2 linked regions of the Zea mays genome follow. The main gene of each other region encodes a partner of the protein of the gene in region 2 in a complex. Links are inferred from orthologs where the notes say so. Each region holds a gene or a part of one and is shown on either strand. Other genes may lie near its edges.

The links. The genes of interacting proteins can lie anywhere in the genome.
Region 1: CCR4-NOT transcription complex subunit 6 (region 2) and Carbon catabolite repressor protein 4 homolog 4 share a complex: the UniProt entries of both Arabidopsis thaliana proteins name them as parts of the CCR4-NOT complex. The link is inferred for Zea mays from reciprocal best matches to the Arabidopsis thaliana genes AT3G58580 and AT1G31500.

The regions. Positions count from the first base shown.
Region 1 is NC_050101.1:154,491,327-154,495,570, reverse strand, and holds the start of Carbon catabolite repressor protein 4 homolog 4, read left to right. Parts: upstream 1-1,444; 5' UTR 1,445-1,535; intron 1,536-1,695; exon of another isoform or gene 1,696-1,724; coding exon of another isoform or gene 1,725-2,102; exon of another isoform or gene 2,103-2,874; intron 2,875-2,983; exon of another isoform or gene 2,984-3,007; coding exon of another isoform or gene 3,008-3,049; coding exon 3,050-3,165; intron 3,166-3,251; coding exon 3,252-3,337; intron 3,338-3,446; coding exon 3,447-3,496; intron 3,497-3,656; coding exon 3,657-3,706; intron 3,707-4,244. Other genes in the region: probable metal-nicotianamine transporter YSL16, read left to right, coding at 1,725-2,102. UniProt on the Arabidopsis thaliana protein: Acts as a catalytic component of the CCR4-NOT core complex, which in the nucleus seems to be a general transcription factor, and in the cytoplasm the major mRNA deadenylase involved in mRNA turnover.
Region 2 is NC_050096.1:14,205,079-14,209,201, forward strand, and holds the start of CCR4-NOT transcription complex subunit 6, read left to right. Parts: upstream 1-1,323; 5' UTR 1,324-1,433; intron 1,434-1,609; 5' UTR 1,610-1,734; coding exon 1,735-1,925; intron 1,926-2,549; coding exon 2,550-3,318; intron 3,319-3,868; coding exon 3,869-3,955; intron 3,956-4,031; coding exon 4,032-4,115; intron 4,116-4,123. UniProt on the Arabidopsis thaliana protein: Acts as a catalytic component of the CCR4-NOT core complex, which in the nucleus seems to be a general transcription factor, and in the cytoplasm the major mRNA deadenylase involved in mRNA turnover.

The DNA of each region.
Region 1 (4,244 bases), on a different chromosome or scaffold from region 2:
TTCTGGGGCCGAGCCCGAGTCCGAGCCCTGGGTCGGGCGGATTTGAGTTCGCCGTCTTACGGGGCTTAGCCCGAGTCCGAGCCCTGGGTCGGGCGGAGCGGAGTTCGCCGTTTTTCGGGGCTTAGCCCGAGTCCGAGCCCTGGGTCGGGCGGAGCGGAGTTTCCTATGGTGCCTGCGGCCGGGCCTGACTGCCTGTCAGCCTCACTCTGTCAAGTGGCACCGCAGTCGGAGCGGCGCAGGCGGCGCTGTCTTTCTGCTAGGCCGGTCAGGGGAGCGGCGAAGTGACGACGGTCACTTTGGCTCTGGGGGGCGCGCGTCAGGATAAAGGTGTCAGACCACCTTTGCATTAAATGCTCCTGCGACTTGGTCGGTCGGTGCGGCGATTTGGTCAGGGTTGCTTCTTGGCGAAGACAGGGCCTCGGGCGAGCCGGGAACACGTTCACCGCTGGAGGGGGGCCTCGGGCGAGACGGAGATCCTCCGGGGTCGGCTGCCCTTGTACGAGGCCAGGCTCGGGCGAGGCGTGATCGAGTCCCTCGTATGGATTGATCCCTGACTTAATCGCACCCATCAGGCCTTTGCAGCTTTATGCTGATGGGGGTTACCAGCTGAGAATTAGGAGCCTTGAGGGTACCCCTAATTATGGTCCCCGACAATTACCTTTCCCAATTCGTAGTTCTTTCAACTTTATTACCGTCGACTATAAATATACTTTGACTAAAGTATGATTTCCAACCAAGATATAATTTGGATTAAGGTAATATCTTTTCTCACGTAATTTATATTAATCCACATAGAATATAATTCATAGTTAGTCAGATAATCTTCGAAAAATCATATCTTTTCAACCATAACTTTTAAGTGGTTTTCGAATCTACGATCTCATAGCAGCGCGTAGAATATCATTACACAGTTGTTTTCTATGTTTGGTGTAATGTTATTTTTATATATTCTTTGCTTATATATGTATTGCTACGATAAAAGTGAGGTTGCGAGACACCTGAAGTAATTAGAGAAATACCTGTATTTGCACCAAAAAACAAGTTATGCCTTAATCGCTCTTTTTTATCTAATAATGCTCCTGTGAATAAACTTTAGCCCATAAACTAAACTTTAATCGTAGTACTAATGGAACCAAAACAGACCTATGATATAGAACATTTAGGGCTTGTTCGGTTAGCTCTCAATCCATGTGGATTAAGTGAGATTGGATGAGTTTGAATCCCAAACAAATCAAACTTCTTCTTCTTTATTTTTTTTCAATCTCATCTAATCCATATGTATTGGGAATAACCGAACAAGGCCTTATATGGGTTGTAACCTTATTACCGCTCTCCACCAAACACACCATGCATTTTAATGAAGAGGTTCGTGCACGCACTGTGTTCAACGCAATTCCAATTTTCTATCCGAGTGATGAGTGACTGTGCACATACATCGTACTACAGGTGGGACCCGCTTACTAGATCAGATTCTAACATCCTGTTCGTGGAGTCGTCTCGGCGGCGGCGGAACAAGCCGGGAACCTACCGCAAAGGAGTTATTTGTGATTATAATCATTTCGTCGGGCGGCTTCGCCTCTTTGGTATCCCGCAGCCCGTCATCGCCAGATTGGTATTGCTGTCGTACACCACTCGCTGGATTGGGTTCGTTTTCATACTGCTGACTAATTTACCCTTCCTTTCCCCCTACGCGTTCATCTACCTACGCGCTCATCTACCGCAACATGGCCATCCTCGGCGTGGAGGGCTTCTCGGCGCTGCCCAGGCACTGCATGCAGCTGTGCGCGGGGTTCTTCGCGTTCGCGGTGCTGGCGAACCTGGCGCGGGACCTGCTGCCGCGCCGGCTCGCGCGGCTCGTGCCGCTGCCCATGGCCATGGCCGTGCCGTTCCTCGTGGGCGCCAGCTTCGCCGTCGACATGTGCGTGGGGAGCCTCGTGGTGTTCGCGTGGCACAGGCTCGACGGCAAGAAGGCCGCGCTGCTGGTGCCGGCCGTCGCCTCGGGGCTCATCTGCGGCGACGGGATCTGGACGTTCCCGTCGTCGCTGCTCGCGCTGGCCAAGGTCAAGCCGCCCATCTGCATGAAGTTCACGCCAGGGAGCTAGAGAGCACGGTGACGATGCGTACAGAACAGAGGGCATCGTTCGTCGTTTGTGGGGTGGAATCCGTGTAGTAGAATTACATACCAATCAGGCCTGTTCTAATGTCCATATGAGCTTAATGTACGGTGTATATATGTAAAACGGAAATCTGAAGGATGACAGGATGAATTGCCTGTTGTCTAGTAGCACGCATATTATTATTATAGCAGAGCATTAATAAAACTCTTTTATCTTGCACAAAGTGTTACTGCAATTCCCCAACGCTGTTCAGTAGATCCTAGTGCGCTCATCTCTCTTCCGCTGCAGTGGAGCAGCTTCACTCAGCGGCACCGTTTGGAAGTTGAAAGAGAAAGCTGAGCACGGCATCTCCGTGCGCAGTGCATGGCACAGTCGTCGGTACGCGCCCGCCTAACCCGTCGGCATCAACGATGATGCTTCCTTCCACAGCCACGGTTCGCTCAACTTGCCCAACGGTTCCTCGATTCGCCGCCGCATCGTCCCCAAGCTTTGCCCCTCTCGTTGCTTCGGTGGTGCTGTGGAGCTCTGAACAAGAGGGCACGGACATTCTCCGGTTACCATCAACCTCCCGTCGGCCGCGCAGGACACCGACGATGCGGCGGCGGCGGCACTCAGCCTGGTCACGGCCGCCCTGGAGATGTCGCCACGGGCCGAGGTGACGCTGGAGCTCCGGGCGCGCGCTCCTCGTGCTCAGGCGCTATCGCGACGTCTTCATCCATGGCTGGAGATCGACGAGGCTCGTCGTCGTTGCGACCGGACTGGGTGAAAAGGAAGGGTAAATTAGTCAGCCGTATGAAAACGAACCCAATCCAGCGAGTGGTATACGACAGTAATACCAATATGGCGATGACGTGCTGCGGGATACCAAAGAGGCGAAGCCGCGCGACGAAATGATTATAATCACAAATAACTCACCGCAAAGGGCGCCACCGATGCTAAAGCCACAGACGTCGTGGACAGCTTCCCTCCCTCTCCTTCTCATCCGCCGCTGCTCGAGAACCGCGGCCAGTCCATCTCCTGCCGGTGACCGGCCGCTCTCCTTTGTCCCGTGAGGGCATTCCCACCCCTAACCCTGTCCCTTGTTTCCTCTCTTGCACTCTTCGTTCTAACGCTTCACTGGATACGCAAAATTAGGGTCTGCAAGCGGCGGATGAGCACGCTGGCGCATCCCAGGTTTGCCCCTCTCCCTACGGAGCAAACTGAATCCCAAACAGATGGCGGTCAGTCCTCGTCAGCCCTGAAATCTTAAGGAAACTAATCACTGACACTTGCAACAGTGGAATTTCTGTGTGGTCGATGCTAATATTCGTTTTGGGTTTTGGCTTCCAGGGGCTGCACGGTACCAGTTCCGGCTGGTCTCTTACAACATCTTGGCCCAGGTGTGTCTGTTTTTTTTTCTTAGCTTTCTAGCGAGAAATTTGCTATTTTGCCACTCTCTCCCCGTTTTGGCTCTATGTTATTATGCCATCTCTGTCGGTGGGACCATCCGTGTGGATCATTGGCGGCCAACGGTGCCTAATAGTTTGCTCTGTGCTGCAGGTTTATGTTAAGAGTACGCTTTTTCCTCATTCCCCATCTGCGTGCCTCAAGTAAGCCCTTGATTGATCAGTTGTTTGTGTTGTGTATTGGATTTTCTCTCTCGAAAACGCTGTTTATTGGACTTTCCTTATAGTCATGGTACTTAAGGTTCTAATGCTGTATAGTCATGGTGTCTGAGAAAGTAAGAAATCTTTGGAATTTCCTTATCTAACTATTTTCATGTGACTTACTTGAACTAGGCTTCATAAGTGGAACCAAGTGATATTGAATTATACAAATTTGGTTCCATGAATGATGGGTTACCCAGCAGATCCTAATCAAACTTGATGACATGTTTGCTCAGCAATACAACTTTTAGACTTCTAAAAAGTAGTAATATACTCCCTCGGATTCCGGATTGTAAGTCATTCTGGCTTTTCTAGATGCATATATATATATATATCTTTTGCTATGTACCTAGACATAAGTTATGTTTAGATTCATTGTAAAATCTGTGTCTAAGAGAGCCAAAACGACTTCCAATTTGGAACGAAGGGAGTACTGTTATACTATTTAATTTTCACAACAGATATTGACAACATGGCCCCT
Region 2 (4,123 bases):
TCATATTTAATATTTTTTCAAACTAAAAATAATTTGATATATCTAATGAAAAAAAATTCAAGAATAACTTTTATTTTGTACCTAAAACTGAATATCTATTATACTTTTAAACTTTTTAACTAAAAAGTTGATTAACAGTGGATTTTAATTGAATGCAATACGATTTTTACTGAATAGCAAAGTGCTTGTACTTTGTTACGTTTCCATTTATGTAAAAGTATAGAATATAAAATACACGAATATACGTGTTCTATTTTCTAGGCAAGTGTGAGTGTAGGTTTAGAGCTAATAATCATGGTCCGAATCTTCATTTAGGCTTTGTTTAGATACTCTAGTTTTAAACCTAATCTACATGTATTAAGGGCTAATCCACATGGATTAAGGGCTTGTTCGTTTATTTGTAATCCACATGGATTGTAGGGGATTGATATAGATTGGAAGAGATTTTTAATTACTATGGATTTAAACCTACCTAATCCCTTTTGATCCATAGAGTAGGATAAAAACGAACATGCCTTGAGATGGATTAGGGGGTGTAAATTAAATTAATTTATATTTAATAGATCTCAATACATGTAGATTTGAGTAAATAATAGAGTGCCTAAACAAGGCCTTATGTATTGTACTAGTCGGTTGACCATGTTTTGCTACGTTTATTATGTATCATACAATAGGTATTGAGATATTTATTCAAATATAATTATTGTTTATTTCTAAACACTAAGTTATGTGTGGTCTGATGATTAGCCTTAAATTTTTGGAGCAAGGATCATGGATTCGAGTGCTTGTTCTGCACTATTTTTTGCATGATGTGGTAGTTGCGCGGACGAGATCGAGTGTTGTGGGTCTATAGGGCAATAGCTGAGAGAGCATTGCGCGAGCGCTGGACGTGGGGCCTATAAGCTATAGAGCATGGCGTCGAGGCGGGACGTGTTGGGCGGACCTAGAGTGTCAGCTTGGCCCAAGCGTCACACATTAAGGTATTGTTTGGTTCACATATTTGTAATGTAATGAGTAACAAATAACGTTAAATCATGTTTGTTTAAGTCCAACCGTAATCGGATACCACACTAGAAATTGATATCAGCCTATTTAAATTTGTTACCGCTGATTATCGAATGCAAACCATTACCGTTACCATTTACGTTACATTTTAGGAACCAAACGGCACCTAAGTTCTTATAATAGTTTAGATTAGATATAGATAATTCTAACATTTAAAATGTAACATGTTGCATTCTAAATTATTATCGTGTGAACGTGAACGGCGAACCTGCAGTCAGACTTACCACCAAGTGGACGCAGCAGCTTTAACCCCCCAAAGCCTCGACGCCGCGAGCACAGCTCCGCCGCCACCGCCCCCTTCTCATCCGCGGTCTCCTCCGCCTGCTGCATCTCTATCGATCTAGCGGGACTGGCTCCTTCCCGTGCTGGTTAGTAACCTTTGCTCGGATGAGTTCTTTCGTTCAAAGTGAGGATTCGGTAGTGGTGTTCTCAATCAAACCCAAATCGATGTTTTCGCCATTCCGATCCAGTTAACCGTCCATTTTTGTGCTGCGTGGTATTACCCAGCTAACGCAATCCAATCTATCCGGCCTTGGTTTGATAGGGTCCTTCGTCAATCGTCAGCGCGCAAGATCGGCACTTGTGTACATCTGAGCAGTTTCCGGTGCCCTAATTCAGGCGCGGGCGTTGTTGGGTTTTCGATAATTTTGGGGGTTCACCTGAACCCTCATGACCCAGGTGAAGCCCGCCCCTGGGGGAAGGATGCTGACCGTGCTGCGGGTGCACCTCCCGTCGGAGATCCCGATCGTCGGCTGTGAGATCACGCCGTATGTGCTCCTGCGGCGCCCCGACGGAGGCGTCTTCACCGACGACGTGTCTGAGACCGCGCCCGTGGATGGGTACTTCATGCGCTACAAGTGGTGAGCAGTCCATTCCGAGCCTCTTTTATTTCGTCAGTCACAATCAGGACAATTTATAGTCAACCAAGCATGGTTTCATCCATTCGAGTTGCTATTTGGACGCAAGCTGCTTCATTTATTTGTTTCACCATTTCAATACTGTGTCCAGACTCCAGAATAACCGAGTTATTAGCAATTTTAAGCACACACCACATTCTGGTTTGTTGAAGTGTTTTTTTTTGTGACACTGAATATTTTTACATCGCTAGTTTGAATACTTAATTGGGCTCTTGTCAGACAATTATGATTTCTGCCAAATCACGAGTTGTTTTTTTTCATAGTTTTTGACTGGTGTAGCAAGTTTTCTGATCCAGCATAATCTATGGGAACAGTATAGTCATTCGGAGTGGTGCATACTGATTGGTAGATATATGAATAGTTGGATGCTTAAGGTTCACTTTCTAGTTGCTATGTTTTCATGGTGCATTAGGGACCAGCAAAGTGTCATATGATGCTTGAATATTGTCTAGAAATGAATATACATGCTGAACATGTTAAAAACAACTGGTATAGGGTGTCAGATTCGAACTTTTTTAAGGCAAGAATACCGATGAAATCCTGAATATTGATCTTCCTTTCTTGAAGGTACCGCATACAAAGTGATCGTAGAGCTGCTATCTGCAGTGTACACCCAACAGAACAAGCAACACTTCAGTGCATAGGGTGTCTGAAGTCAAAAATACCTGTTGCTAAGAGCTACCATTGTTCTTCTAAGTGCTTCTCCGATGCTTGGCAACACCACAAGGTTTTGCATGACCGTGCTATAAGTGCTTTAAATGAAAACGGAACCGAAGATGATGAGTTGTTTGGCAGATTTGGTAGCGGCAGTTCGAGCTCAGGGGTTATTAGTGCTGCGTTGTCTGGTTCAACATCAAACCTTTCACTGAGCTCAGGTGTTAATAATGGACCTACACCTGTGTATCCAACAGGCACTGAGAAGAGTTCTGGTGAAACTTGGTTTGAAGTGGGATGGTCACGAACATATACGGCAACTACTGATGATATTGGACATGTGCTAAGATTTGAATGTATAGTTGTGGATGTGGAAACACGGGGGACTGTGAGAGCTCCTACTTCAGTCATGACATCCCGTGTAATCCCAGCACCGACCCCGACACCACGCCGCTTGATCCCTGTTAATGCAGCTGATGCAATGGTCCACTTCGATTTAGATAGCCGGACTTCTTCTTTTGGGACATTTACTGTGCTGTCCTACAATATTCTTGCTGATACATATGCAACAAGTGATACATACAGCTATTGTCCAACTTGGGCACTTACATGGGCTTATAGAAGGCAAAATTTGTTGCGTGAAATTATTGGTTACCATGCTGATATTATCTGCCTTCAGGAGGTATGAATGCTATTGTTTTTCATGTTTGAAGTTTAAGGCTCTGATTTGCATCTTTAATTGTTAATAAATTGCACTTATTATGTTCAGCATGATGAGTTTAAGAAATTACTATTGATGTTGTTATGTTCCTGTCAATCTGTGATACATTGAGATTGCTCCATTGCTTCATGACACCATCCTTTGGTCTTCTGTTAATTCTGAGTAACTAAATTGTAGTTATAAAAATAATGTTAATGTGATTTCTTCATTAGCCCGACTGCCCGAGGCAGGATAGTTTCCCAGCACCTTTCTGTTGAATGAGAAGTACTATCATAACTTTTTTATCTGCCTTCTGGAGTCCTTAAATTGTTTGATTGTTGTTTCTTGATTGTGCTGCATCCCCCCTTAAACTCATGAAGCATAAAACATAAGTGACACCTGAAATTATTCCCTTTCTCATATGATCAATGTCTCAGAGAGGAAGGAGTCTTTATTTTGTAAGAATCAGTATAAAAGAAAAACCATGCCATTTCTATGCTTCTAAAGGTGATCTATATGTTACTATTTGCAGGTACAAAGTAATCACTTTGAAGATTTTTTTTCACCGGAGCTTGATAAACATGGGTACCAACCTCTATATAAGAAAAGGACGACAGAGGTTTGTTTGGTTCTTTACTGCTTGCTGTAAAACCTTGGTATGGTGTAGTGCGTAATTTGGAATATTGCTGTCACAGGTGTACAGCGGAAGTCCTCAAGCAATTGATGGTTGCGCTACTTTCTTTCGTCGGGACAGATTTTCGCATGTCAAAAAATATGAGGTCAGTGC